7 linked regions of the Sus scrofa genome follow. The protein of the gene in region 3 interacts with the protein of the main gene of each other region in a pairwise test. Links are inferred from orthologs where the notes say so. Each region holds a gene or a part of one and is shown on either strand. Other genes may lie near its edges. The genes, in order: CARD9, PDLIM7, PAK5, UXT, TUBGCP4, FHL3 and FAM212A.

Region 1 (4,161 bases), on a different chromosome or scaffold from region 3:
TGCCCAGCGCGTCCTGCCCCTGCTCCCGCATACGGCAGTCACCGGGGCCCCCTGCACCCAGGTGTGACGCGTCACACAGGCCGCAGGCTGACGCCCCCTGGCAGGGGCGGGGGGTCCCTTTGCACCCGGGACTCAGTTAACCGAGTCCAGTTTTTCTCGCGACCTCCTCTGACCTGTGGGCTAAGTTTTCTTGTTCAATTTCCAAATGCTGAGTGAGGGTCCCGACGTCTCTGTGGCTGCTGCCTCGCCCAGAGCACACGACGTCTGCCTGAGCTCTAAGCCACGGGAACTGGGTCGTTGAGGGCCCGGTACCAGCCTGCCTGCTGGGCATGTAGGAGGCGGTGGCTCAGTCTCCTGCACCAAGTCCCCACCTGGCTTTCGCGGCTCCCGCAGGGGGCTCCCCATGCCCAGAGGGTGATGTCAGCTCCCCGGAAGGCCAGGCCACCACGCAACCCAGCAGTGCCAGGTCTGTGCCGGGACGCCCAAGGTTTCTGCGAAGTGGCCCGCTGACCATCCTGGGCAGAAGGCAGAGAAGCCCCCACACGGCCTGAGGCGTGAGACCCCACAGGAAGGGAGCTGGCCAGGCGGGAGGGAAGCTCCTCAGGAAGGGGGAGCCGGGAGCACCGGCCAGGCTCCCATCCAGCCCGTCCAGCCGCAGCCCCTTCGCGGAGCTGAAGCTGGCAGCTCGGTTCAACTGGCAAAGCTCCCCGGGCAGCGCGGTGGCCTGGGGATTCCCCAACCTGGCCAGGGTGCAGCTGGCAGCCAGGGCTGGGCTCCAGGCTTTGCCCGGCCTTCTGCAGCCCTTCTGAAGTGCTGGGGTGGGGGGCTGCTGTCACTGTCATGTGTCCTGGTGGAGAAGGGGTGGTCCCAGGAGGGGCGGGGCCGTGCCAGCCACAGCAGGCCAGTGTGCTGCGGGGCGCCTGTGCCCGGGGCCCTGTTTTGGGACACCACACCGCCCCCTCCTGGGACCAAAGTGGGCCAGCAGGGGCTCGAGCTCTGTCAAGCCTTGGCTCGCACTCCCCACTCCTCAGGGTCAGGGCTGGGCCTCCAGGGCGGGCCCTGGGCCCCGCGGCCAGCCCTGCGCTGGCTGGCAGGGCTCTGGGCAGCCTTCCTGGGGAGCCACTTCCACTTCCCTCCCCCGCCCCCCAGGCCGCCCTGCTCGGGCGAATCAGCAGCGGCCGCAGGGATGGTCCCTGCGGGGTTAACGCCAGGAAGTGCGCTCCCTCCCGCCCCACCCTCCCTGGCCGGCAGCCGCGGCAGCTCCCACCGCTCACACACCGGCTTGGCGGCCCAGGCTGGCCGGCGACCGGCCACTGCACAGGTGCCTCAGGAGGACCCCAAGGTAGGCTGGTCTGGTGCCCTTTCGGAAAGGCGGCGGCAAGCCCAGGTGGCTCAGGACTCTTGGGACAGGGAGAGGGATCTGGCGTGAACACCCCAGAAGGGCACCAAACGGCCTCACCTCTGCTGCCCCGTCCCCCTCGCAGCCACCTGGCACGGTCGCTTCGGTGGAATGCACAGCAGGTCATCGTCAGGCGTGGGTGCTGTGGACTTGAGGCTAGAAAGGCCGCAACAGGCCAGGTCCAGAGACCGGCCACCAAGGTGCTGGTGATTCCTCTGGACGCCGCGCCTGTCGCTAGGCGGGCGGGCCGAGGGCGGTGGGACCCACAGCCACGGCCTCTGGGATACCACGGCCTCTGGGACCGTGCCCCAGCCCCCGTGGCCCGGGAGCCGGTGTTTCCCAGGCAGGTTACAGGCTCAGTCCCAGGTGTTGAGGCGGGGTCTCTGTGCCCCCCGACCCCTCTCCCCCAGGAGGAGGCATGGCCACATGGCTGCTCCTGCTCAGCCCGCCCCAGAGCGTGGTCCCTGCCCACCCGCTGCTGGAAGGGCTAGCAGAGAGCAGCTTCCACGTAGATGGTCCCCTGTCAGGGAGCCAGCATCCCCGTGCTCAGCACTGTGGCCGAGGAGATGGGGAGAGCCCGGGGCCAGCTAGTGCCCAGCACCCAGAGCCTGGAGGAGGCGCGCAGCCGCGTCCTGGGCTGCCTGGGCGACACAGCTGGGCCCTCCCCATGTGCCCAGGGCCCTCCGGTGGGCTGCTCTCAGTCACGCTTCCTGGAGGGCACCACGTCCCTGGGCCTGACCGGAGCGGGCCAGCTGGGCAACTGTTGCATCACCAGCCACAGGAAGCAGAGGAAGGGATGGGAGTGGATGTGCGGGGGAATGAGGAAGTCCCGCGTGGCATGGCCTGCCGCCCGCAGGTGGGGGGCGCCCCAGCCGGGCGCGGGCTGGCCGGGGGTGGACCGGGACCCCTCCCTCATCTGCCGGGGAGGTTGTGCCAGCGCTCGGCCCAAACAGCTCCTGCTGCCCCCTCACCTCCAGGGAGGGAGGCAGCCTCCCTGCCCGCCCACAATGCTCGGGGAGGGGGATTCTCCCTGGGCACAGGCTGGGGGGGTAGCGTGGGGCAGGGGCCCAGGGTGACGGGGGCGGGGGAGAGGAAGCCCAGAGCGGCCAGAGGGCGGGGGCAGGGCAGGGCAGGGCGGCGGGCCAGTTGACGGGCCCTCTCTCGGAGCAGTGCGCCCGCCCGCACCATGTCCGACTACGAGAACGAGGACGAGTGCTGGAGCGGCCTGGAGGGCTTCCGCGTGAAGCTCATCTCCGTCATCGACCCCGCCCGCATCACGCCCTACCTGCGCCAGTGCAAGGTCCTGAGCCCCGACGACGAGGAGCAGGTGCTCAGTGACCCCAGCCTGGTCATCCGCAAGCGGAAAGTGGGTCAGTGCCGTGGGCGGCGGGCTCTGCCCACGCTCGTCCCTGTCCCCGGGAGGCCTGGCCGGCTCGGCCCCCGCCCCGCCCCCCCCATCACCAACCTGTCTGCCTGCGGCCGGGGCGCCGCCATGCACAGCAGAGGCCCCTGGGAGAGCCACACGAGGTGGGTGGCCGATGGGGACTGGCCCAGACCCACTCTGCGGCCACCCCGCGGGGCCTCGAGGGGCCACACGCGTGCCTGGGGACGCCGGCCGCCCCGGCCCCCAGCCAGGCCCATCTGGGTTGCAGGCGTGCTCCTGGACATCCTGCAACGCACCGGCCACAAGGGCTACGTGGCCTTCCTCGAGAGCCTGGAGCTCTACTACCCGCAGCTCTACAAGAAGGTCACGGGCAAGGAGCCCACCCGCGTCTTCTCCGTCATCATTGGTGAGGAAGGGCACCGGGCCTGGGGACCCAGGGCCCGGACTCAGGGGCCGGGGCGCCCCCCTGACCTGGGCCCCTAACGGATAAAGCGTGCATGCGCTCTGGCGGAAGGATACCGCCCGCCTGGGGCCCGCCCGCCCGCTCTCCTGCTGCAGCCCGGGGAGGGGGCAGGGGCCGGAGGGAAGGGGGACCTGAACTCCAGGGCGGGAGCAGGGGGAGGGGAGGCACAGGCTGATTCTTGGCTCAGAGCCCCCCTGCCCAGAAGACCACCTGACCCCACTAAAACCCTGCTCCCGAGAGGCCGCGGCAGCCGGAGAGGTGCCGCTCTCCTGGTCCTGAGTCGTGTCCCCTCGCCTCTCAATCAAGATGACCAAAGTGGACAAAGAGGGAGGGACACGTGAGCCCCTGGCTGCACCGTCCTGGGAGGGGCTGGGGACGGGGCCTGCAGGTGAGTCAGGACCAGACCCCTGGGCCGGGCTCCCCGGGCCGCCGGTCCTGGAGCCGCGCGAGATGCTGGGCTGCTGGGCGCGCCGTCTGATGAGGCCCGGTCCGCAGACGCGTCTGGGGAGTCCGGCCTGACGCAGCTGCTGATGAGCGAGGTGATGAAGCTGCAGAAGAAGGCGCAGGACCTGACGGCGCTGCTGGGCTCCAAGGACGACCTCATCAAGGAGCTGCGCGTGAAGGACGGCCTGCTGCGCAAGCACCAGGAGCGCGCGCAGAGGCTCAAGGAGGCCTGCGAGGCCGGCGGCCGCGAGCTCCAGCGCTGCAAGGACGAGAACTACGACCTGGCCCTGCGCCTGGCCCGTCAGAGCGAGGAGAGGGGCACCGCGCTCATGCGCAACCGAGACCTGCAGCTGGAGGTGCCTGGCGGCGGGGCGGCCGGGCGGGCGGCGGGCGGGCGGCGGGCCCCCGGGCTGGGCTGACGGGCGGCCCCGCAGATCGATCGGCTCAAGCACAGCCTCATGAAGGCCGAGG
Region 2 (4,237 bases), on a different chromosome or scaffold from region 3:
GAGTCAGAAGGTGGAATCTACAGAATCTGAGGTATGACACAGATGAGAAAGGAAGGAAAACTTCATGATTTTTACTGGCCTAACCAGATGAACACTGTTTTTATTTTTTTTCCTTGAAGTAAGGAAGGAGTTAGGGAGGTGGGGAAAATGAAAGTTTAAATTAGGAAGTAACTGGAATTCCTGTTGTGGCCTTGCTGTGGCTGTGGCATAGGCCGGCGGCTATAGCCTGGGAACTTCCATATGCCCCTGGGTGCAGCCCTATAATGAGAAAAGGCCAAAAAAAAAAAAAAAAAAAAAGTGAAAATTCTTACAGTTTATATTATGAGGGGAATGATGCAGAATAGGGGGAAATGTAATGATGATGGTGGAGGTAGGAGAGTAGCCACAGCCATGCCCTAGAAGGAGGTGAGGGGTGGATGCCCATCCTGATCCCTGGTCAATTTCCTCCCACTGCGCTAGCATTGGGGCTGTGGGGTCTGTGAAACCCCCACTGGAGGCGCTGCCCACTCTGGAGTGGGGTACCAGGACTATCTCGACAGTTTGGGGGTCAGCCCTAAACCTTCGGAGGGTCAGGGGGTAGGAGTGAGGGCAGGGCATAGGGTCGGGGCGGAGCCAAAGGCCTTTATACCTCTGTCTGCTGCCTTTGGTGGAGTGTTCTGCAAACTTAACTGTAAGCTCCCCCTGTGTCGACCTCAACTAACCCCACCTCCAAGGTTCACCCCCTCCCTCTTCCAGACCAAGTCTGTCCGATTTAGATATTCCTTTTGTGTGTGTGTCTTTGTGTGTCTTTTTGCCTTTTCTAGAGCCGCTCGCCGCAGGAGCGGCATTATGGAGATTCCCGGGCTAGGGGTCTAATCGGAGCCATAGCCACTGGTCAGAGTCACAGCAACGTGGGATCCAAGCCGCGTCTGCGACCTGCACCACAGCTCACGGCAACGCCGGATACTTAACCCGCTGAGCAAGGCCAGGGATCAAATTTGTTAACCACTGCGCCACGACGGGAACTCCCGATTTAGATATTCTTGAGCTATCAATGGCTGTGCCTTACGCCAAACTATGCCTATCTTCACGGTGGCCTGTGAGGCGAGTATTACTGTCCCACTTTCCCAGTAGGAAACTAGGGTTTAGAGATGACTCAGGTCCAGATCTGCCTGGTTTGCTTGGTGACTTGCTTTTCACTCGGCCAGAGGGAGGCGCAAGGGGCTGGGCGAGCCGCGGGTTGGGCTGTCCAGCAGCCCAGACCCCCCCACACCCTACCCAGGCCCCGCCCCATTAAGGGGACCAGGGAGAGCCTTGCCTTACAGCGCAAAGAGAGACCGGACTTCGTGATTGGGCGGTACGGAAGGATTCGGCGGGGCTTCCTACTGCCTGGGAGACTGCTCATGGGCTCAACTTTTGACGGAGGCGTGGCCACAGGCCACGCCCCCTCCAGCGGGCTCATAACTGATGTCTGCGGCGGGGGCGGGGCCAGAACGCGGGCGGCGGATCCCAGCGCGGCTCTCTGGAGCCCGCTGCTGAGCAGCGCCCCGGAGGGGCCGAGCAGGTACAGGCGACTGTGCGGGGCGTTTCGGGCTGGGCCAGGCGGGGGGGCAGAGGCCTGTTAGGGGCCACAGCGGGCACTAGGGGTCGTGGCCAAAGCTGCGCTTCCTCCGGCGTGCGGGAGCCGCTACCCCCGCCCCCGCCTTCCTGAGGCGAAGCCGGCTGCGGCGGGGCCGATTGGCGCCTGCGCCGCTTCCTGCCCCCGGGACTCGGCCAATGCATGGGGCCGGGGCGGGGAACCAGGGGGAAACCGAGTCACGTCAGGAGGGTAGGCCTGTGGGGGAGGCATCACCCCCACTGAACTCTAGGATGAATTCCCTTCCTGGCCACGCTTTGAAGTCCCAGTCCCCACCGACCTACGCAGGGGCCGCGCACCCGCCCAGTTCCCCCAGCGCTCAGGGGTCTCGCCCTGGGTCACGGCAGCTTCGACTAGTCCGGGAATGGCTAGTACCCGCTCCAGCCGCCTCCCCCCCTTCCCCTCCCCCTCGCGTCCCGAGCCCCCGTGTGTTCCCTCCGTTGGCTCTCCGCACAGTGTCAGCTTACACGCCTTATATAGTCCGAGCAGGCTCCAGCCGTGGCCTGCCTGCCGGGACCTGGGGGCGGGGGAAAGGAGGAACGCCGGCCCCGGACTGGCCTTGCCGTCTAGTTCCAGGCTCAAGGATGGCTTGGGGGGAAGCCAGAGCCAAATTAGCCCTGCGATCCACTCCTGGATGAAAAGAATCTCAAGGCTGGATTCGGGCTCCCCTCACCCACCCTGTCCCTTGGGGAAGGGGGGTTGCCGCTGCCTTTCCAAAGTGAAGTCTGCCAGCTAGCAGCCCAGCCAAACTTAACAAGTTACCCTCCTACCCTTGCCCTGGGTGTGCTCAGCGTCTGCTCGTGCCTTCCTGGCACTAGTCCAAGCCTGATGTCCAGAGCTAGGCCTGCCTGTGTACCCACCATGCCAGCTGCTCACCTTTTCTCTCCTCTCAGGAGCGGCACCATGGATTCCTTCAAGGTGGTGCTGGAGGGGCCAGCACCTTGGGGCTTCCGGCTGCAGGGGGGCAAGGACTTCAATGTGCCCCTCTCCATCTCCCGGGTGAGCCTAGATTGAGGGAGGGGCTCCCCCAGGGGTCTTGGGGTGCTCAGATCTCCAGTGGGTGACAGAAAGAGCCTGAACAGGAGTGAGCCACGGCCGGTAGGCCAGGAGGTGCCCAGGTCCAGATATGTGGGCACTGCCACGAAGACTACCAACCTAACTAGGGAGATACTAGGAGAGGAGCCCCCACACTTCCCTAGCACTGCACTGTACCTGATGCTGTTCCACGAAGCTCCTGTGGCCACCTCCAAGGCCCAGGGGGATGCCCATTCTGAGGTCTCCAGGAAGTGTCTAAGCTCCTTGAGAGAGCAATGCTTGGAGCTAGGCCCCAGGCAGGGCTCTCTGACTGCAGGATCTCACTTCATTCTCACTGCCACCCAGGGAATAGCAACTGTCATCCTGTTTTTCCAGATGAGCTAACTCAGGACTCGGAGAGGTGAAAGGGCTCCTTCAGCAACTCCGTGGCAAAACAGGGATTGGAATTCAGCCACAGGGATGGCCAGCAGTCTGTGTGTGTGAGGGGTGCCTCTCCCCGGCCTGTGTGAGGACCTTCCATCCCATCCACTGGTCCCATTCAGGATGGAGTGGGCTTTGACCCCAAGCAGGGGTTGGGATGGGTCTCTAGGACTCTGACTTCAGCTTCTGAGATCCTGTCCTGGTGGGGGTGGAGCTAGGGGCCGGCTCCTCCCTGTGGCAGGGGGATTGCCTTATAAGCCCAAGAATGCAGCCCCACGCAGGGATGGCCAACTGGTGGCTGGAGTCTGCAGGGCTGAAAAAGGCTGGTCTGGGCCTGGACCCCTGACCACATCAGTGGGCCCCTCAGCTCATCGCCCCCAGGCTGTGGCTCTAGCCATGGGATCGGCCGTGGGACATGTAAAACAAGCTGCCTGCCCTGAGAGAGAGTCCAGCCCTTGGGCTGGTATCTCTCACTGTGGTGGGGGGTGGAGGGTGGGTTCAGGAGGAGGTGGGGACTTCCTGCTCCCATATCCGCTTATCCAGAGAGACCCACCCAGGCTCCTGGTGGGCAGGCAGCTATTGGCAGGAAGCCCAGGGCAAGCACAGCCTAGAGGGGGCCGGAGGGTTGTCCAGCCGCAGCTGAGCTCAAGGGGGCCCCAAAGCAGAGTCTGTCGGAATTGGGCTTGGTGGCCAGAACAGCTAGGCTGTCACTGTTCTCAGGGATCCTACCCTGGGAGCTGCGCTGCCGGAAGGGTAGCTAAGGGCAGTGATCTCCCTACCACATATACCCACCCTGTACACAATTCTCGAGTCTCTCCAGCCCTGGAAACCTCCCCCTGTATACCCCTTCCCTGGGAAAGTGCTAGCCAGTGTGACTGGGTAGCTGTAGGCCTTGGCTTGGCCTCTGAGCCTCAGTTTCTTCCTTGGTGAGGATGGGCAACAAAGTAGCCTAGGGGATGGACTTTCAGATGTGGCCTGCTGGGGGCACCCTGAGCCCAGGCTCCCTTGTCAGCAGGCCTAGCATGTGGGTGGGGCCACCAGCTGAGCCCAGCCCTGGAGTTGGACCTAGGCCCTGGTGGGTGGGCGGGTGTGTAGGGTGGTCTTTTCTGAGCTGGGCCCGCCCTCTCTCCCTCTACCCTGACCCCAGCGTGGAGTGGGGAGGGAGGG
Region 3 (3,500 bases):
CAACCACATCATTACCAAGCCATGTAAAATTCAGCCATGATGATACTGATGAGACACAGAAGTGTGGTCATAGCAGGCATTACAGTTACACACTCAATAAGGATATCACATTTGATCACAAATAAAACAAGTAATCTTCACGCTGTGCCCTATTTATAGCTCAGAAAGTTTCTTCCTCTTCTATATATGCTGATAACTTCAATTATTATGTATCTTCCAGAAAAAGGTAACAGAAATGTTGCACCTCCAAGTATTTACTATTCAGGTAACAATGTTTACTGATTTTGCAAGTAATCTGGATAATGAATGACAAAAGATAATAAATACACCTTTCATAACCAAACAATTTGTAATCATCAGCTTATTGTTAGATAGGGTTTATTATTAAGTAGAGGAACTCATACTGGTAAATAAACAGTGATATCCTATGTATACTTTTCTAAATAGCTTTTTAATGTTTGATTTCTCTATTGAGTCAGGTAAGGAAACATTTGCTATATGAGATTGTTATTTATTTGATTTATTTCACCACTAAAATCAATCAACAGATTTTTCTCTTTTTCTTTTTTAATGAAATGCTCCTCGTTTAAATTGGATGGAGTGGGGGTGGGATTCCTCCGTCAATAGGAAGGCGTGGGGAGTTCTTATTGTGGCTTAGTGGTAACAACCCGACTAATATCCATGAGGATGTGGGTTCGATCCCTGGCCTCTATCAGTGGGTTGAGGATCCAGCATTGAGGTGAGTTGTGGTATAGGTAGCAGACAAGGCTCAGATCCCACGTCGCTGTGGCTGTGGTGTAGGCCAGTGGCTACAGCTCCAATTCAACCCCTAGCCTGGGAACTTCCATATGCTGTGGGCATGGCCCTAAAAAGAAAAAAAAAAAAATTGAAGGCATGAAACGTTCCCTTTAAAGCATGTTCCCTTATTATTCCCAGACAATTGTCAGAGGAAACAAACCCTGCAAGGAGACCTCCATCAACGGGCTGCTAGAGGATTTCGACAACATCTCGGTGACTCGCTCCAACTCCCTAAGGAAGGAAAGCCCGCCCACCCCGGACCAGGGAGCCTCCAGCCATGGTCCAGGCCATCGGGAAGAAAACGGCTTCATCACCTTCTCACAGTATTCCAGCGAATCTGACACCACCGCTGACTATGCCACCGACAAGTACAGAGACAAAAGTCTCTATGGAGACGATTTGGATCCGTTTTATAAGGGCGGCCACTCGGCCAAGCAAAATGGGCACGTCATGAAAATGAAACCTGGGGAGGCCTACTATTCTGAAATGAAGCCTTTGAAATCCGAGATAACCAGATTTCCTATCGACTACCACGCACCCTTGGACTCACTGAGCAAACCAACTGAGTACAGTGACCTTAAGTGGGGGTACCAGAGAGCCTCCAGCAGCTCCCCTCTGGATTATCCATTCCAGTTCATGCCTTCCAGAACTGCAGGGACCAGTGGGTGCTCCAAGGAGAGCCTGGCGTACAGCGAAAGTGAATGGGGACCCAGCCTGGAGGACTATGACAGGAGGCCAAAGTCATCATACCTGAGTCAGACGAGTCCTCAGCCCGCCATGCGGCAGAGGTCACGGTCCGGCTCAGGGCTCCAGGAACCCACGATGCCCTTCGGAGCTAGTGCTTTTAAAACCCACTCCCAAGGACACTCCTACAGTTCCTACACCTACCCTCGCTTGTCTGAGCCCACTATGTGCATCCCAAAGGTAATGCTCACCCCCTCCCTCCCTCCAGGGTTTACCTTTAAGTGGGAATCCGTATAAAATTCTACCTGATTTCCACCCATGAGCCCCAGGAGCAGAGACTTTAAGGCAAGGCACATGTATTCATTAAAATCAAAGCCTTTGGAGGAGCTCCTACAGGGTTTCTGGTTAAAAAGCAAAAAAAAAAAAAAATTATTTGAAAAATATTCTGATGTACTCATGATTATATATCCTCATATGGCACTAAGTCCTGTGTTAAGGAGCATTCAGTTGTAGATCATTATATGCAGTAGCATGGTGGTTCCTGCCTCTGCTTAAGGTTATGTGGCTCTGCCGACAAGGAAAAAGAAAGCAAGATAATGTGGTAAGTTTTTAACAAAGTTAATTGCATTCTACTCAAGGGATGGTTCTTCATTTTGAGCTTATGTCTTTCTACTGTTCCGTATTGAAATGTCATTTTTCTCTATGACTCTTTGAGGTGGTAGATAGAATCTGGTTACCGGACCATTTTCCATGTAGTTTTTAATGTTGTTTTGTCTTATTGTAATTCCTCTCTTGGTAATTTTTGTTGTTGTTGTTAGCTGCTCCACATTTGTTTTGAAATGTGGTTGGTCCATGACGTCCCAAAGTTTAGGAACCGCTGCTGGAGAAGTTACTGACTTTGCAAAGTACCTTAGGGAGTATGCTGGGGGAGTGTTTTCCTTAGTAACTTAGAGATGTTTTTGCCACCTCCCCTGGACAGTAAAGTGAAAATGGGGCATTTGGAGATGGGCTCTAGGTTACAGAGCTCTCAGACCAGTTGAGAGAGACTTGACTTCCAGTAGCATGATCACGGAGGTTTACACCAAATACTGTCTCTTCAACAGCTTGGTAGGCCTCACAGCATACCCTGGAAGGCAAGCCTGCCTGCACTCATCTAGTTGGTTGATGTCAATAGCCATCCTTTTTCCTTTGCTTCTTATTTCTCAGAAACCCAATCCAAGATGTTGAAGCCGTCTAGGGCTATGCTGGGAGTGACTTATGCCATACAATGGAAAAATGAAAAAAAAAGCTATCACTCTAACTCCCAATATATAAAATTAAAAATAAATTCTTGAGGAAGTAAAGACCTGAAATATATACCTCCAGTTAAAATTTAAATATTGAGAATGTTTCCCATCTCACCGTGGTATTTATCTTAGTTACTCCCATGGTCTTGCCTTTACTTTCCAGAGCAATGGTTGGAAAGAGGTCTAATTAACAAGCAGAGAAAAGCTGTAGGAAGCCATATGCATGTGTGTCATGATGCATAAGATCATTTATTCGATTTCCTGTGCACATCACTCCACCGAGAGAACCCCTTCATGGTTGCAGAGAGAACTAAGCAAATTAACACATTCTGTAGCTAAATTTAGTTGCATCTTCTGGTCTTTGAACATCAGGGGCTACTTTAGGAATAAAGAATGTGATTTTTTTTTCAGCTTTGCTGAGGTATAATTGGCAGAATTGTAAGATATTTAAAATATACAAGATGATGATTTGATCTACCTATGCATTGTGAAAGGATTCCCTTCATTGAGTAAAAACATCCATCACTTCCCATACTTACCTTCTTTGTGTATGAAAACATTTAAGTTCTACTCTCTTAGCCCATTTCAGTTATACACTCTGGTGTTATCAACTGTAGTCACTACATTATACATTCTATCATTAGACTTTATTCATCTTATAGCTGAAAATTTGCACCCTTTTACCAACTTCTTCCCTTCTTTTCACCCCAGACCCTGTCAACCACTTTTCTA
Region 4 (2,745 bases), on a different chromosome or scaffold from region 3:
GGACTGAAAATATAAATTTGGGGAGTTCCCTGGCGGCCTGGTATTTAAGGACCTGGTGTTGTCACCACTGTGGCTCGGGTTGCCACTGTGGCACAGGTTCTATCCCTGGCCGGGGAACCTCTGCATGCCCCCACCCCAGCCAAAGAAGAAAATACAAATTTGGGAGATAGTGGAGTTCCTGCTGTGGTGCAGCAGGATCGGCCACATCTCTGCAGCACCAGGCTGCAGGTTCGATACCCAGCCCGGCACAGCGGGTTAAAGGATCCAGTGTTGCTGCAGCTGCAGCATAGATAGCAGCTGTGGCTTGGATCTGATGCCTAACCCAGAACTCCATATGCTGCGGGGGAGCCAAAATAGAAAAACTGGGGGGAGATAGTGATACATAAATGAGTTTACACTCTTTTTTTTTTTTCCAATTTAACATCCTATGTCGTTGCCTTCTACTTTTCTTAACAGTATTTAGTTTCCCCAAAACTGACTCTTACGTTGACAGGATAACTCGGCACAATAGAATCCACCTTCCTTATCAGGATATCAAGACCGTGCATGATCTAGCCCTTGCCTACCTCTTGGATCTTGTGCCACTTTCCTTCCACCATTCACTTACTTTCTAACACTGGCCTCCTGATTGCTCCTCTAGAAGCTCTTTCCGGCCTCTCGGACTTCTTGTGAAAGACTGTCCTGTTTAACTCTTACTCATTCTTCAGAAAGGCCTTCTTTTATCCTTTGCATCACTTAGGCTTCTTTTGGGTGAGCCTGGTCGCAGTTGGCTTAGATGTCAGGAGGTAGGAATGGGCTGGTTGGCGTAGCTCAACAGCCCAGAGCCAGAGTGGTCCCGCTTTCCAGTTGCTTTAAGCCTTGGTGTCTTCCTTGAGTCCTCTCTCTCTTGCATCCAACATCCTCCTTTGGTAAATCCTATTGACTCTACCTTCAAAGAAGTATCCCAGCTCCAATCATTTCTCATCCCCTCAACCGCTGCCACTGCGGTCCGAGTCTGCATCTCTCACCTGGACGATTCCGACAGCCTCTGCAGTGGCCTTCCTCTTCCACACCAGCTGTCCTTATCCCCAGTCGGTTCTCCACACAGCAGCCAGATGGATCCTCTGAAACCCTAGTCATTTGACCTCCCTTCTCTGATCACAATACTCCCCTTGCTCCCATCCCACTTAGAGTCAAAGCCAGAGTCCTCACCATGGCCTGGTAGATTTTACACGAACTATCTCCCCCACTTACCTCCGTGACCTCGCCTCCTCTACCTCCCCACTTCACTTTTTCTTCTCCAGCCACACTGGCCTCTTCGCTGGGCCTCAGACATGCCAGGTACGCGCCCACCTCAGAGCCTTTGCACTCTCCACCCCTTGTGCCTGGAACACACATCCTCCATATGTCCACATGACTCGCTTCTTTGTTTTAAGTCTCTACTCAAACGCTTCTCAGTGAGGCCATCCCTAAGCACCCTAATTCGAATTCCAGCCCCCACTCCTGTACTCCCATATCCTCTCTCATTTAATTTTTTTTTCATTATAATTTTAACCATCTGACATACTCCATATTTTACTCCATCATCTGTCCCCCTTAATGAGAATCTGAGCTCCAAGAGGCCGAGATTTTCGTTTGCTATGTCTGCTGCTATCTCCCCAGTACCTAAAACAACCTGGCATAGAGTAGGCATTCAGTAAAGGTCTTGGAATCAGTGTAGTGCAGATGGCGGCCAGGCATGTCTGCCTAGGAGCAGGCCAGGTAGTAGGGGTCCCACCACCTGCCGTGTGGAAGTCATCCAGGACTTAGGCGGTTCTTGAAGCGGTGAGGGCACATCATCCTCACGGATCCTAAGTGGGGCCCACCTCGCCCTTTCTCGTTTCTTTTCTCCAGGCTCAGCGACAGCCTCACCAAGGACTCCATGAATATCAAGGCCCATATCCACATGTTGCTAGAGGTGAGAGCAGCTCACCCCACTCCCAGACTCTATCTCCAAATATTTAGGGTGGTGTCCTGAGGAAGGGAGAGAGCCAGAGATGGGAAGGGCCATCTTTCCCTCCAAATGAGTCAGACAGGAACCAGGCTGGCTCTGAGGGAAGGGAGTTCCAAGCAAGCCTGAGGTGGGGCCTGGACCCAGTCTCCGTTCAATCTCTTCTGTTCTCTTTTTCAGGGGCTTAGAGAACTACAAGGTCTGCAGAATTTCCCCGAGCCTCGCCACTGACTTCTTCCTACCTCCCTTGACATTAAAGAGCCTGAATGTCTTTGAGTCACGTGGCCCTTCTTTCCCCCATTAACTTCTGCTGTTGGCTAAAGTGCCGTTTCTAAAGCACAATGTTACTGGGAGGCGCAGAGATCCAGTCTGTGTAGAATCTTTAAAGCACCACTGAAGTGCCGCCTCCAGCCTGTTTCCTGGCAGAATGTGCCACCTGACTTTCCGCTCTGCCCTCTCTACCATCGCCTTGGCAACCTGGGCCCCCACCTGACCCTTCTTTCTATTTCCTTTCCTGTGCACTACTGCTTGAATTAACCATAGAGAACGGGCCGATTCAGGGTGGCGGTTTGTTCCCTAAGGCAATCAACCTTTCACTCCTGGCCCTAAAGTTTACCCTTCTCCCACACTCCAATCGTTCCTCAGGTAACTTAAATTACACCCACGCCCGTCTAGGCCCAACCTTGGCCTTGTCCCAGCTTCTAAATAGTTACAGCTCCAGCAATGGGCGCAGGGCCGATCTCGCCCGCCCTCCCTGGTCCGGTCCTCATTCTAGG
Region 5 (3,147 bases), on a different chromosome or scaffold from region 3:
AAGGACTAGTTTAATGTGCCTCAAGCGGAGGTTTCGTGCAGGCTGACCAAGAGGACGGCAGTGTCTTTGCCCAAAAGGGAAGTTTTACACACGTTGCATTTTGAGGGGCCGGCAGAACTTGCACTTTTTTTTGCGGAGGTCAGATGTAGAGGAGGGGAAGAGGGTAGCTCTTATTTTCCCAAATCTATAATTTCACAGGTCTATCTATTCCTTTTTCCTCCTAATGTCACCTGTTTCCTGTATAGGTGTTTCACTGCCTGAATGAAATCTTAGACCTCTGTCACAGCTTTTGCTCACTGGTCAGTCAGAACCTGGGCCCCCTGGATGAACGTGGGGCTGCCCAGCTGAGCATCCTGGTGAAGGTGAGTGGGCCTGGTCCTTGGAAGGATGGAGGTGGTTTTGCTGATGGGGCATCATGATCTATTCCTCTGAGTCAATTTAAGCATTTCCCCAATACAGACACACAGAAATAACAAGATACAAAGATTTTTAAAAAATGTTGGTATCAGTTTTTGAAGCAGATAATTATGTGCTGCCTCAGCGATCAAATATTGTTCAGTCCTGAACAGTTTATTCAGCCCACCAAACATGCACTGGCTTTGTTCTTACTTTTTAACATCCAACCGCCTTACTTCCTTGAACTAACCTGTTTCACTGCGATAATTCTCTGCCTGTAACAAAAGCACAGGCTCTCCCCCAGCCCAGTACACAGCAGCATCTATCAATCTGAAGCTGGCTGCTAAATTCCTACTGAGAATGAGAGTATTTTCACAGCAAGTCATGCAGTCTATGCACAAAGAAGTCATTTTAGGAGCTAAAAGAAATGGGATGTGGGAAGGCCAGTTGGTGCTGCAGAATTTTCAGCAAGATTTTTCCAAGGAATACCCCCTGCCCCCTCACTCCACCTGGACAGCTGGTGCGTGTAGGAGGAATGACAGCTTGAGTCCTTCTCTCTGCAGGGTTTTAGCCGCCAGTCTTCACTCCTATTCAAGATTCTCTCCAGTGTTCGGAATCATCAGATCAACTCTGATTTGGCCCAGCTACTCTTACGGCTAGATTATAACAAATACTACACCCAGGCTGGTGGCACTCTGGGCAGGTAGGAACAAGCACCTTGGGGCTTAGTAGACTCTGTGTGGCTTTTTTAATGAGCGGTGGAATTCCAGAGCTGGAACTTCAGCCATCATTTAGTCGAAATACCCTCGTTTTATAAACAAGGAAAGTAAGGCTCAGAGAGAAGAGGGGCTGTGTTTGATCATCAGTGAAGATGACTGTCCAGTAAAAATCATCATCATAGTAAATTACTAACACTCCTAAGGCCGAGATGGATTTTAAGTTCTTGGCTAGGTAGTGCATTGCTGTGCTGGAAGGCAGCATGGCTTGAATCCCAGTTCTGACACAAACCAGCTGCCCAGCCTTGGGGGCCTCCCTGCCCTGACTCTTGCCTCACTGATCCCCAGCTTTTGCACTGAAAGGATACCCTTTCTAACTCTCAACTGTTTTTTTAATCTAACGGCGAGATTCAGTGGTAGTGGCTTCTCTGAGGTCTGTCTCACTCAAAAGCACTTAATATTATTCTCCTTTCTCTCTCTGATATGTTGAGCAGATTTCTCCTAAGTAAATTTAGCAAACAGTTTTAAGATGACATTATCTAGATCACAAGTTGTTGCCCTGGCTCATTATTTCTCTGAAGAAAATCTTAGGGAAGCATATTATCAAGTGGCCTTTTTTCTTTTGTAGTTTCGGGATGTGAGAATTTTGGTCCACAGACAGAAGTCAGTCAGTCTCACCGTGCTATAGCTGTAACTGAGGATTCAAAACATCCCGTCCTCTGGCCAGGCCCATACATCTGCAGCCTCCCGCAACAGCTCTACCTTTTCTCCTAGAAGCAGTTTTTGAACATCCATGGATACAAATGCTTCCCCTTGTTCCCAGGTAGAAGGGGCATGGGCCCCACCTCAGAGCCATTCTTAACTCACCACCAAGGAGGACTTGTGGCATCAGCTCTCCTTCTGCTGACCACACAAGATTTGATACACTGAGAACATTCATTGGATTCGTTTACTGAGCACCTGCTTGTGTGCTTAGGTACTGTTCAAGCTTCGAGAGACACGGCAGTAAGTTATATAATCAGAAAGTTAAATGGCTCATGTGAAAAAGGAATTATATTCAAAAATAGGTCAAATGCTGGATGTGACCACTCGGCAAGAAAGGCACCAGGTAAGACAGTCTTCTACACACCCCACAGAGCCCCTTTTCCTCCTTCAGAAATTGAAAGTGAGTTTCCTATCCCAAAGGATCTTCAAAACTGTGTCTGAATAGTTTTACCAGTAACTTCCAATTATTTCAGACTGGTAAGGGGGTAATTCTAGCTACAATGAGGTATTTAAAGCTTAAAAAAAAACTCTTTAAGAAAAAAAATTGTTAGATTTCAAATACCTAAAGATGAAGGTCTAATTATCCATCTAATTTGGCCCTGATCTCTCCATTTTCTACCACACACTGTACCCCTTCATTACCTGTAACTAACTGTCAGCTAACGATGACCCTCTCACTGCTGCCTCTGGAGCAGAGGTTGGCAAACTACGACCAACCCCCTGTCTTTGTAAATAAAGTTTTACTGGGACACAGCCCACACTTCCTTGCTTACCTGTGGTCTGTAGTTGCTCTCGTGCCATCATGGCAAAGGTGAGTAGTCATGACACACCAAGTGGCCCACAAAGTCTAACGCATTTACTGTTTGGTAGAAAAAAAAAATTTTAAGCCCCGCTTTAGAGCATGAGAGGATAGCAACACGAATGATGCTAGGAGTATGGAAGGAACAGCTTCCAGCAGCAGTGACAGGAATAAAATTTTGACCTTCTGGCTACAGCTGCTAACATTTCGATGGGTTTTTACTGTTTCTCACATTGATCCTAGCAGAAGTTTACACTCACCACCCATGCACAACAATTGGTCCTTTTCCCTTTTAGCTCTGAGAGCACAGTATCCACAGGTCAGCTGTTAGCTCAATTCTAAAGAGAGATTTCTCTTTCTAATTGCCAGAAAACTAAGAGCTGTGCCTAATTCCACTCAACTTTTGGCACAACTATTAATCTGGGCCCATTATAAAATCATGTTTTTGGAAGTACTGAATTTTAGACAGCC
Region 6 (4,087 bases), on a different chromosome or scaffold from region 3:
TTGACATTCTCAGTGGTGGGCTCAGGGAGAGAACAAGGAGGGAAAGCCTTAGTTCTCCGTTAAAGAGACCCAGGCGTGGTGCTCACTAAGACCAGTGGGGGCAGGTCTGACACCAGTGAGCGTAACTCTGAAATCTCCAACACAGGTACAGAAGAGTAGACACTAGCGTGCTGTTTGGCTTCTCACAAAGTGCAATGCCGCCCACCCACCACCAATCAGATCTCCCAAACGGCAGGCGGGATAGGACATCATCCCCGTTTTACAGCTGAGCACGGCGGCCAGGGACAGGGCAGAGACATGCCCAAAGTCACTCTGGTATGAGATCCTAGGTCCCCTGCCTCTCAGCCTGAAGTCCGTTTCTCTTTCCCTAGAAATGTTGCAGTGGCTGAGGGGGTGGTCAGCATTTAAGAGCAGGGGGACAGGAGATGCTAGGTGATATCACTGGGACAGGAGCCTGGCTCTTCTCCCCAGTTGCCAGCCCTGTGACTGGAAGACACCCAGAAGCCTTTCCAAGTACCCATGCCAACCGCTCAACCCCCTTTGCCCTTCCCCCCCACAATGTCTAGGAGGACCCTGGCCAGGTCCCACAGCTGTGACTCAGAATCAGCACAGACCCTCCCCCAGCTTACAGGAGCTCACAAGAGACTTGAGGGGAGAAACCAAACTCTTCCCTCCCCCCCCAACTAGGCATCAACCCCAAACTCTCCGGGCTCTCTCCCCTCCCCCCATGAGGGCTGGGAGTCAGAGCGGTTTGGGGGAAGGCGGGGTGGGAAGCAGGATCCAGCAGCTGCTCTGGGGACAGAAAGGAACAGTTCATTCACCCCGGGTCCCCCTGGACTGAAGCAGTGCGCCCAAGATTTGAGTTTAAAAATAAGTTGGAGCTGATTGGGGGACTGCATGGGGCTCCTTCTTGCTGTGTCTTACTGTCTCAGATCCTCATGGGGGATTGACTGGTCTAGAGTTTCTGTCTCCCCACATCCTCACTTCCCAGTCTTTTGGGCCTGAGTCCCGTGGGTCTGTCTTGGAAGCTGTCACTGTGCCTCCATGACATCTGTCTCTTGATGTCTAGCTCTGCTCCACTCAGCACGTCTGTGTCTGCACACTTTGGCAGCTGTCTTTATGTTTCCATGTCTCTGTATCTCTACTGGCCATCTCCCAACGACAGCCTCGGTGGATTTCTCCCTCCGTCCACCCAAGCCTTGGCATCTCAATGTCTCTAAAAGGTGGAATGTCTTGGTCCTCCCCCACCGTCCTTCTCTATCTCTTAGCATCTCTATGCCTGAGTGTCTCCGACTCTAGACTCTGGATCTTTCTAGGCCTCTCCAAGGCTGCTTTACCACGAGGCTAATGAAGCTTAAGCTTTGGAGCCCCTCACTTGCCCAGAACCTTCCAAGGCTCTGGGAAAGGCCGACAACACCTCTGGGGTCATTACATGCTTTTCCTTAAAATGCTCCGCTCCACAAAACCTCGGAGGGGTCCCTACGCCTCGGGTCTGCCTCCCGGTGACTCTACGCCCAAGTCTCTGTCCCTGTTTCGGGAATCTCTGCAGCCTCCTCTCCAAGCTTGTCACTCCTTATGCTGTCTCGGTTTCTGGCTCCACCAGGCTTTTTGGAAGCCGGTTTCTCGAACCCTCCCGGTAGCTCTCGACGCTGGTTTTCCATTTCAAACTTGGCCCCCTTCCCCCGCCCAACTCGCGTAGCAGCGCCCGCCCCGCCAGGAGGCCCGGGGCGGTGCGGTCCCCGTGGCGCCCCTCAGGGCTCGGCGCCCCCGCGCCACCGGCTCCCAGAGCGTCCCTGGCGCCCGCGGCCGGACCCCGGCGGAGGCAAAGGGCAAGAGGCGGGGGCCATGGCTGCTCTGAACCCCCGGTGGGTCGCCTCTACCTTCCCGCCCGAGGGCGAGGGCCGGGAGCCGGGATGGGGAGCGGGGCTCGGCGCGGAGCTCACCTCGAAGCGGGCGGCGGGAGCGAGGCGCGGCGCTCGAGCAGGGAGGGCCGGGCAGCCGGGGCCGCGTCCCTCGGCGGCTCCTACCTGCGGGCCAGGCCGAGCGGGGCCGAGCGAGCTACCGGCTAGGCTGCCGGCTGCACACGGACTGTGTGGGCGAGTGGGAGCGCGGCCCCAACCCCTCCTCGAGGAAGTGAGCGCTGGGGCCCGCCCCGCCCGGACCCCGCCCCCGGCCGCCCCTGCCCGCGGGGTGCGGACCCCGCCCCCGGCCCCAGGTCCCCGTGGCTAGGGGCTGGGGAGGGGGGCAGACCCCGCCCCCACCTCCCTTTTAGATCGGAGCCAGCCCCAGCCCCCTCGGCCTTCCAGGCCTAACCTGGCTCTCGCAACCTTCCCGAGCGGCCAGGACCCCGCCCCTGTCCCCTCCCTGCAGCTTTTGCTGTCCTCCCTCCTTGCTCGCCCCCTCTCCCGGCCCCCCCCCACCCCCAGCGGTTAGCTGTGTTCAATCTCGGGCAAAGGATACAGGAGGCAGCCGACCAAGGTCCATTTGGGGACCTCATGCCCTCTTCGTGTCCTCGCCCCCTCCCAGTTTACCCCCAGGGATCACACTGCCCGAAGGTGTACTAGAGGACTCATTCCAGCCTGGGGGTGGGGCTGGGGGCTTGGCCCTGCTGTCACAGCTCTGTAAGTGGGAACCTAGGTGTTCCGCGGAAACCAGGAGTGAAGCAAGGACCCCCTCCAGAGGGCCTTGACCTTCAAAGGGCTTTATTCTCCCACCCTGAGCGTGAAAACGAGTAACCACCTCCTCACCTCCTGCTGCATGGTGGAACAGAGAAATCCTCCCTTGGTTTTCACTGTGTCCAGGAATAGTTTTGACCTTTGAGGCCCAGGGGATACCCTAATCCTTCCCCCCCCCCCCCGTGGTTTTTGAGCTTCTCAGGAAGGAGTGTGAGGAGTGTGCATGGACAGGGCGCTGCAGGGGTGGTGGAGAGAAGTTCTTCTCCCCGACCTCTGCAGTTTCTAACCTTCTGGCTTCCTCCCTGGGTCCTGCCCTGCGGGGAGGGAGGACTGGCGCCTGCCAGGGACACAAGGCCCCTCCAGGTCCTTGAGGCCAACCCCCCTGGGATCCTCAGGCTTGTCACTAGGAATAAATAGCCATGGTCTGGAAGGGTTGGGGAGGGAGGAGGAGGCTCTGCTGGGCTGTTTGCAAAACAAGAGACAACAAACCAACCCTGGAAATAACCTCAGGGTCTAGAGTAGAGGTTCAGGTGCCCAGAGAGGCTCTCCCATCCCCCAGGCTGGGTCCAAACAAGCTCCCTGGGCAGAGACTCATTCCTTCCCAGGCTGGGGCTCCTGAGTACCCTCCTCTCCAACCTCTGAATCCCATGCCTGCCTGAGGGCCCCAAGACACCCTGGAGGCCAGGTTTCCTTTCAAAATTAACTAACTGCTTGTTAATTATCATTGTTCCTCATGCCTAAACTGTAAGGGCCATGAGGGCAGGGACCAGGTCCTTCTGATTCTGGCACTTAATAAATATCTGATGAATGAATGAGTGACAAACACTGCTTCCATGTCATTGGACCCTTAGGTGCCCGGATTGGACTGCAGGCATATGCTTCTGGAGTCCGGGGAGGAAGCAGCCAGTGCCTGTGTTGACCCTTGCTCTGGAACTTATCTTGCAGGTGTAGGAGACTCCCAGCCCTGGGGAGTGCAGGGAAGACTGCCTGGTTGGATGAGGGCAAGAAAGGGTTTACTGGGAGTTCCCAGTTGTGGCACAGTGGAAACAAATCCGACTAGTATCCATGAGGATGTGGGTTTGATTCCTGGCCTCCCTCAGTGAGTCGGGGATCCCTTGTTGCAGTGGCTGTGGTGGCTGTGTAGGCTGGCAGCTGTAGCTTTGATTTGACTCCCAGCCTGGGAACTTCCATATGTTGTGAATGCGGCCTTAAAAAGCAAAAAAATAAAAAAGAAGGGGTTTGCTCTGGGCTGAGGGGAGGGCAAAGGTCAACAGCCTTCAGAAAGGAAGGGGTTATGACTGAATAAGGAAGGTGCTGGACCAAAGGCAGAGTTGGAGGGGCTGGTCTCTGGTTTTACTCACAAAGAGCCAATATTCCCTGAGTTTTTACTTTGCACCAGACTCTAAGTACTT
Region 7 (4,266 bases), on a different chromosome or scaffold from region 3:
CCGGGCCATGCTGCTCAAGGTCATCTGCAGCAGGTGGGCAGTGCCATATGGGACCTAGGTTCTCCATTCCCCTATACTACCGCTGGCTTAATGAATTTAGTGTCCACCTTTATTTCCCCAATGTCCCCAGCTGTGCCCGTGACCCTACCTTGCCCACATAGATCCCCTGCCACCTGGTGAGGCTGGGTGGGTTGAAGAAGGTGGTGGGTGGCTTCACATGGAGCAACTCCAGGGTGGGTGTGTGTAAAGAGCAGTTGAAGGAGAAAGAGTGAAGGATGGTGCCAGGTCCCTGGCTCTCAGAGACATTTATGAACCAGGGCAGGCAGTGATGATCTGTGAGGAAGAGACAATTCAGGCTGGAGGCTCTCCATGTTCAAGCAACCATATACACAAGCAGAGTCCTTCCCTTCTGCCTTAGGGCCTAGCCACATCTTGGGGACAAGCAGAAGTCTTTCCTTGTCTCTCACATCTAACCACAAGTCAGATCATTTCACAGACTAGGAGTGAGAACTTGGTTGAAGAAGAAGCAAAGATAAGGAATGAGGGCCAGAGGTTCAGATCTTTGTCCTTTCCTGGCTTCCTTCCCCCAGCCCCTGCCCTCCATGGGAGCTTATCTGAAAGGGGTCAGGACTCCACTGTGGAGTGAGGGAGGTGAGAACTAAAGTCCCCCTACCCACCAGCTCCTCACCAGAGACAACCAGAGCAAGAAGAAGCACCAGGGACCTGAGCAGCACCATAGCGGCCTGAAGATACAGACAGCAGAGGAGACTCCAGAAAGACAGACGTGTTTTTCAGGCCTGCCCCGTTGCCAGGTCAGTTGCTCAAACACAGCTGAGCAGGCGGTACTCCTGGGCCTCCAAGATTCTAGCCCCACCCATCCCTGGTGACTGAGTTCTAGACTCTACAGGCATCAAGAGGTCTGGAAATACCCATTTTTTTCACTGCTCCCAATGAATTCCCCAATTTATTACTACAATTTTGAAACAGACGTGAGAGAAGAATCAAGTTTCAGATGGGGAAACTGAGGCTCAAGGAAGTCTTGGTCACACAGTTCTTGGAGACAGAGTAAGCACAGGACCCAGGAAAACTGGGCCCAGGACCTGCTACCCCATAGCGTCTGAACTCTAGCTTCCCCCCCCATTAGAATATCACCTGCCTATAAAATCTGAGCCCAACCATCAACAAAATCTCTCAAAAGCTGTCTACATTCAACAAACAAAAGGTATCCTTGGCAATAGAAGCAAAAATAGTGGTTACTTTGGGGGACATCAACTGGAGGGGGCAAAAAGTGGCCTCCTGCCCTTACTCTCAGTGTGTATGTGGTGCCAAGCAGAGGGAACGTGAGTGTCGCGGCAGGAAGAGCAGATAACCGCGCGCTGCCCACTAGAGGGCAGCCCCGCCTAGCTTCGTACAGACGCGGGGGCTGGGCCTGGGCTCCGGCTGCTACTCCGTGGGGGCGGTGAGGTTCCGCGCTCCCGGAGTCATCCAAAGGGCCGAACCCCTTCCTGACTTCTAAGGACTGTCGAAGCCAGCCCCATGAACAGATTGAGTGGGTCAGGCCCCAAGTGGGCCACAGCACTGTCGGATGCGACTACTGGGGGCGCTCTAGCCGCGTGAGGGCGCAGCCACGGAACCCGCGCGCTGCAGGGGCCCCTGTGGGAGGGACCGCAATTCTAACCCGGGAAAAATGGAGAAGCTGAGGCTACCTCAGGGAAGCGGCTTGTCCTGAGTCTTGCAACGAATTCGGAGTCAGCTCAACCGCCCAGGACTTCGAGGACTCGGAAGCAGGACACTGCCCAGCTCTCGGCCCCTGTTCAGCCCCTCCCCCCCAGGGCTGTTGCGGAGTGGGTAGTGGGCGTCGGGTTTCCCACCCAGCTGGACCCAGGGGGCGGGGCCACATCAGCCCCGTCCCAGCCCCATTGGCTGCGGCGCCAAGGGGCGGGGCGGGGCTGCCAGATGTTGGGGCGGTGGCTGCTGCTGCGGCGGGAGCTACGGAGAGGGAGGAGCCGCTGAGCCTGGCGGAGGGCAAGGGCTCCGCTGGCCGGCCTTCCCGGCCCTCACCGCACCGCTCCTGCTGGAGTTCGAAGAGCAACTGGCAGGCCTGGCGGGGGCTCCGGCACGGGCATGCACAGCACTCGGCTTGACAGCTTTCTTGGCCAGCTCCGCTGGGAACTGGTGAGGCTTGGGAGCGGGTGTGGCTCGCTAAGACGCTTGTGGGGTGCTCGGCTGCAGTCCGGCTGGAACGACACATGGGTGGGGGGCTGTCCCGAGTGCCCATCCAAGGCAGAATGGGGGCGGGGCGGCGCAGATGGCCCACGTCGGGTTTCAGATGGTTGAGAGCTGCGCTGGGCATCAAGTAACAACCACCCAGCTGGCTGTGCTGTGCGCGGCAGAGGAAGTTGGGGGCGGGGGTGGAGGGAGAAACTTATTTGGGGCGGATGGGGGGGGAGGGCTGCGAGGGACTAAAGTGGTGCCGGTGCTGCTGTGAAAGCTTAATCCAGGCTGGCCTGTACCTCTGTCCTCTGCACCCCACCTGGCACGTGGTCTATCCTCTGAAAGACGTTGCGGGCTTTGGGGAGCCAAATCCCTAAAGAGGCATGGAGTGCCCCCCCCAGCCCTGAGCAGTCCTACTTCCCGATGTAGGCCCACAACACTGCCTCCCGCCCCGATGGCGGGTACCAACTTGCCCAGCTCAGCGTGCTGCAGCCTGCCAGACTGCCACCGGGTCCGCCAATGGAAGCCACATGAGCTTCATGTGCCAGCACCCCATGCCGGCCTTGTGCCCACTAGGGGCCTTGCTGCCTAGGCCTGCAGGCCTATCCAGCTCTCCTAGGCCTTCTGTTTTGGCATAGAACTGGCCAGGCAGGCAGGCATGAGAAGCACTGCCCCTCCGACTTCTGCCCTCTCTTCCTCCACAGCTGTGTGGCCGGGACACAGGCTCATCCCCCATGCCTGGCCCCCTTCCACCACCCCCCAAACCCGATCCAGGCGTGCGGCCCAAGCACCGGCTCAGGGTCTCAGATTCAGATGCCTTGGAAGAGGACTCAGTCTGTGGTGTGGAGGAAGAGGAGGAAGACGCTATGGTGACAGGAGACAGGGGTGCAGCCTTGGGAGGCCCCAGGGAGCATGCCCTGGACTGGGACTCTGGATTCTCAGAGGTGTCAGGCAGCACATGGAGAGAGGAAGAGCTGCCCATACTCCAGCACCCAGCACCCCCAGTATGGCCCCCTCATAGACAGCACCTCTCAGCCAGTAGCATTCCCCTGCCCAGTGGGGCTCCTGTGACCAGTGCACCACCTGCCCACCGACCACGGCCCAAGTCCACCCCAGATGCCTGCCTGGAGCACTGGCAAGGGCTGGAAGCTGAGGACTGGACAGCAGCCCTGCTGAGCCGAGGTCGCAGTCGCCAGCCCCTGGTGCTAGGGGACAATTGCTTTGCTGACTTGGTGCACAACTGGATGGAGCTGCCAGAGGCCTCAGGTGAGGGGGATGATGGGGGTGGGCCACGAGCCCGTGCTCGCCCCCCCCAGTTCCTACTTGGTCTCTCAGAACAGCTGAGGCGCCAGCTGGCCAGGGCACGCCGGGCAGCGCTGGCAGGAAAGCGACTCTCATGCCCACCTCGCCCAGAACCCGAACTGCCTACAGATGTCTCGCGCTTTGCAGCCCTTATGAGTTGCCGCAGTCGCCAGCCTATCATCTGCAATGATGTTGTCAGCTACCTCTGACCCTGCCCTCCAGCCTGGGACAATAAAGGCCTTTCTCTGGACGTCCTGGTTCCATACCCCTGAGGTTCCAGGAGGCAGCCTCAGACCCACAAGGCACAATTCAAGCAAATCTAGAGTCTTTTCCCTCCCAGCAGGGGTCCATGTCATGCCTGTGTCCCACCCCCATGTGCCTGCTCTGTGTTCCATCATCCATCCTGTCCACTTACACCTTCCTTCAACAAGCATTTATTGAGCACCTACTGTGGGCTTGGGACGCAGGGCTTGACAGAGCTGGATAGTGGGGCTGCTGCCTTTTCACAGCTCATAGTGCAAGGGTGGGAAGGCAGTGTCCTCCTCTTCACCCTCAAAGCTGAGCTCCAGTACAAGCACCCGCTGCCCAGGCTCAGGTGCTCGTCCTGTTACCTGCTGCACCAGATCTGTCACCCTGGTGGCAGGAGGAGGAGAGGGGTGGGAGAGAGATGGAATATGTGAGCAGTGGCAGGCAGAGAATGTCCTGGCATGGACTAGAGGGTGCTGATGGGCTATAAGGATCCCAGGCCAG

What was found.
Region 1: the proteins of PAK5 (region 3) and CARD9 interact in binary tests that used the Homo sapiens proteins (3 or more experiments, as listed by UniProt). The two-hybrid records come from large-scale screens. The link is inferred for Sus scrofa from reciprocal best matches to the Homo sapiens genes PAK5 and CARD9.
Region 2: the proteins of PAK5 (region 3) and PDLIM7 interact in a two-hybrid assay, tested with the Homo sapiens proteins (2 studies listed by BioGRID and IntAct). The two-hybrid records come from large-scale screens. The link is inferred for Sus scrofa from reciprocal best matches to the Homo sapiens genes PAK5 and PDLIM7.
Region 4: the proteins of PAK5 (region 3) and UXT interact in binary tests that used the Homo sapiens proteins (3 or more experiments, as listed by UniProt). The two-hybrid records come from large-scale screens. The link is inferred for Sus scrofa from reciprocal best matches to the Homo sapiens genes PAK5 and UXT.
Region 5: the proteins of PAK5 (region 3) and TUBGCP4 interact in a two-hybrid assay, tested with the Homo sapiens proteins (2 studies listed by BioGRID and IntAct). The two-hybrid records come from large-scale screens. The link is inferred for Sus scrofa from reciprocal best matches to the Homo sapiens genes PAK5 and TUBGCP4.
Region 6: the proteins of PAK5 (region 3) and FHL3 interact in a two-hybrid assay, tested with the Homo sapiens proteins (2 studies listed by BioGRID and IntAct). The two-hybrid records come from large-scale screens. The link is inferred for Sus scrofa from reciprocal best matches to the Homo sapiens genes PAK5 and FHL3.
Region 7: the proteins of PAK5 (region 3) and FAM212A interact in binary tests that used the Homo sapiens proteins (3 or more experiments, as listed by UniProt). The two-hybrid records come from large-scale screens. The link is inferred for Sus scrofa from reciprocal best matches to the Homo sapiens genes PAK5 and INKA1.

What each region holds. Positions count from the first base shown.
Region 1 is NW_018084833.1:1,342,072-1,346,232, forward strand, and holds the start of CARD9 (caspase recruitment domain-containing protein 9), read left to right. Parts: upstream 1-1,361; 5' UTR 1,362-1,911; coding exon 1,912-2,255; intron 2,256-2,569; coding exon 2,570-2,769; intron 2,770-3,051; coding exon 3,052-3,189; intron 3,190-3,741; coding exon 3,742-4,046; intron 4,047-4,124; coding exon 4,125-4,161. UniProt on the Homo sapiens protein: Adapter protein that plays a key role in innate immune response against fungi by forming signaling complexes downstream of C-type lectin receptors.
Region 2 is NC_010444.4:80,451,576-80,455,812, forward strand, and holds the start of PDLIM7 (PDZ and LIM domain protein 7), read left to right. Parts: upstream 1-1,437; 5' UTR 1,438-1,543; intron 1,544-2,508; 5' UTR 2,509-2,518; coding exon 2,519-2,614; exon of another isoform or gene 2,615-4,237. UniProt on the Homo sapiens protein: May function as a scaffold on which the coordinated assembly of proteins can occur. May play a role as an adapter that, via its PDZ domain, localizes LIM-binding proteins to actin filaments of both skeletal muscle and nonmuscle tissues.
Region 3 is NC_010459.5:18,502,870-18,506,369, reverse strand, and holds part of PAK5 (serine/threonine-protein kinase PAK 5), read left to right. Parts: intron 1-936; coding exon 937-1,722; intron 1,723-3,500.
Region 4 is NC_010461.5:42,175,642-42,178,386, reverse strand, and holds the end of UXT (protein UXT), read left to right. Parts: intron 1-1,872; coding exon 1,873-1,936; intron 1,937-2,149; coding exon 2,150-2,200; 3' UTR 2,201-2,245; downstream 2,246-2,745. UniProt on the Homo sapiens protein: Involved in gene transcription regulation. Acts in concert with the corepressor URI1 to regulate androgen receptor AR-mediated transcription. Together with URI1, associates with chromatin to the NKX3-1 promoter region.
Region 5 is NC_010443.5:128,028,893-128,032,039, reverse strand, and holds the end of TUBGCP4 (gamma-tubulin complex component 4), read left to right. Parts: exon of another isoform or gene 1-245; coding exon 246-362; exon of another isoform or gene 363-959; coding exon 960-1,099; exon of another isoform or gene 1,100-1,740; coding exon 1,741-1,753; coding exon of another isoform or gene 1,754-1,800; 3' UTR 1,801-2,647; downstream 2,648-3,147. UniProt on the Homo sapiens protein: Component of the gamma-tubulin ring complex (gTuRC) which mediates microtubule nucleation.
Region 6 is NC_010448.4:93,985,769-93,989,855, forward strand, and holds the start of FHL3 (four and a half LIM domains protein 3), read right to left. Parts: upstream 2,801-4,087; 5' UTR 2,760-2,800; coding exon 2,748-2,759; intron 2,098-2,747; exon of another isoform or gene 1,944-2,097; intron 1-1,943. UniProt on the Homo sapiens protein: Recruited by SOX15 to FOXK1 promoters where it acts as a transcriptional coactivator of FOXK1.
Region 7 is NC_010455.5:32,328,402-32,332,667, forward strand, and holds FAM212A (PAK4-inhibitor INKA1), read left to right. Parts: upstream 1-1,470; 5' UTR 1,471-2,124; coding exon 2,125-2,175; exon of another isoform or gene 2,176-2,237; intron 2,238-2,918; coding exon 2,919-3,725; 3' UTR 3,726-3,766; downstream 3,767-4,266. Other genes in the region: CDHR4 (cadherin-related family member 4), read right to left, coding at 1-24, 149-333, 689-737; UBA7 (ubiquitin-like modifier-activating enzyme 7), read right to left, coding at 4,020-4,149. UniProt on the Homo sapiens protein: Inhibitor of the serine/threonine-protein kinase PAK4. Acts by binding PAK4 in a substrate-like manner, inhibiting the protein kinase activity.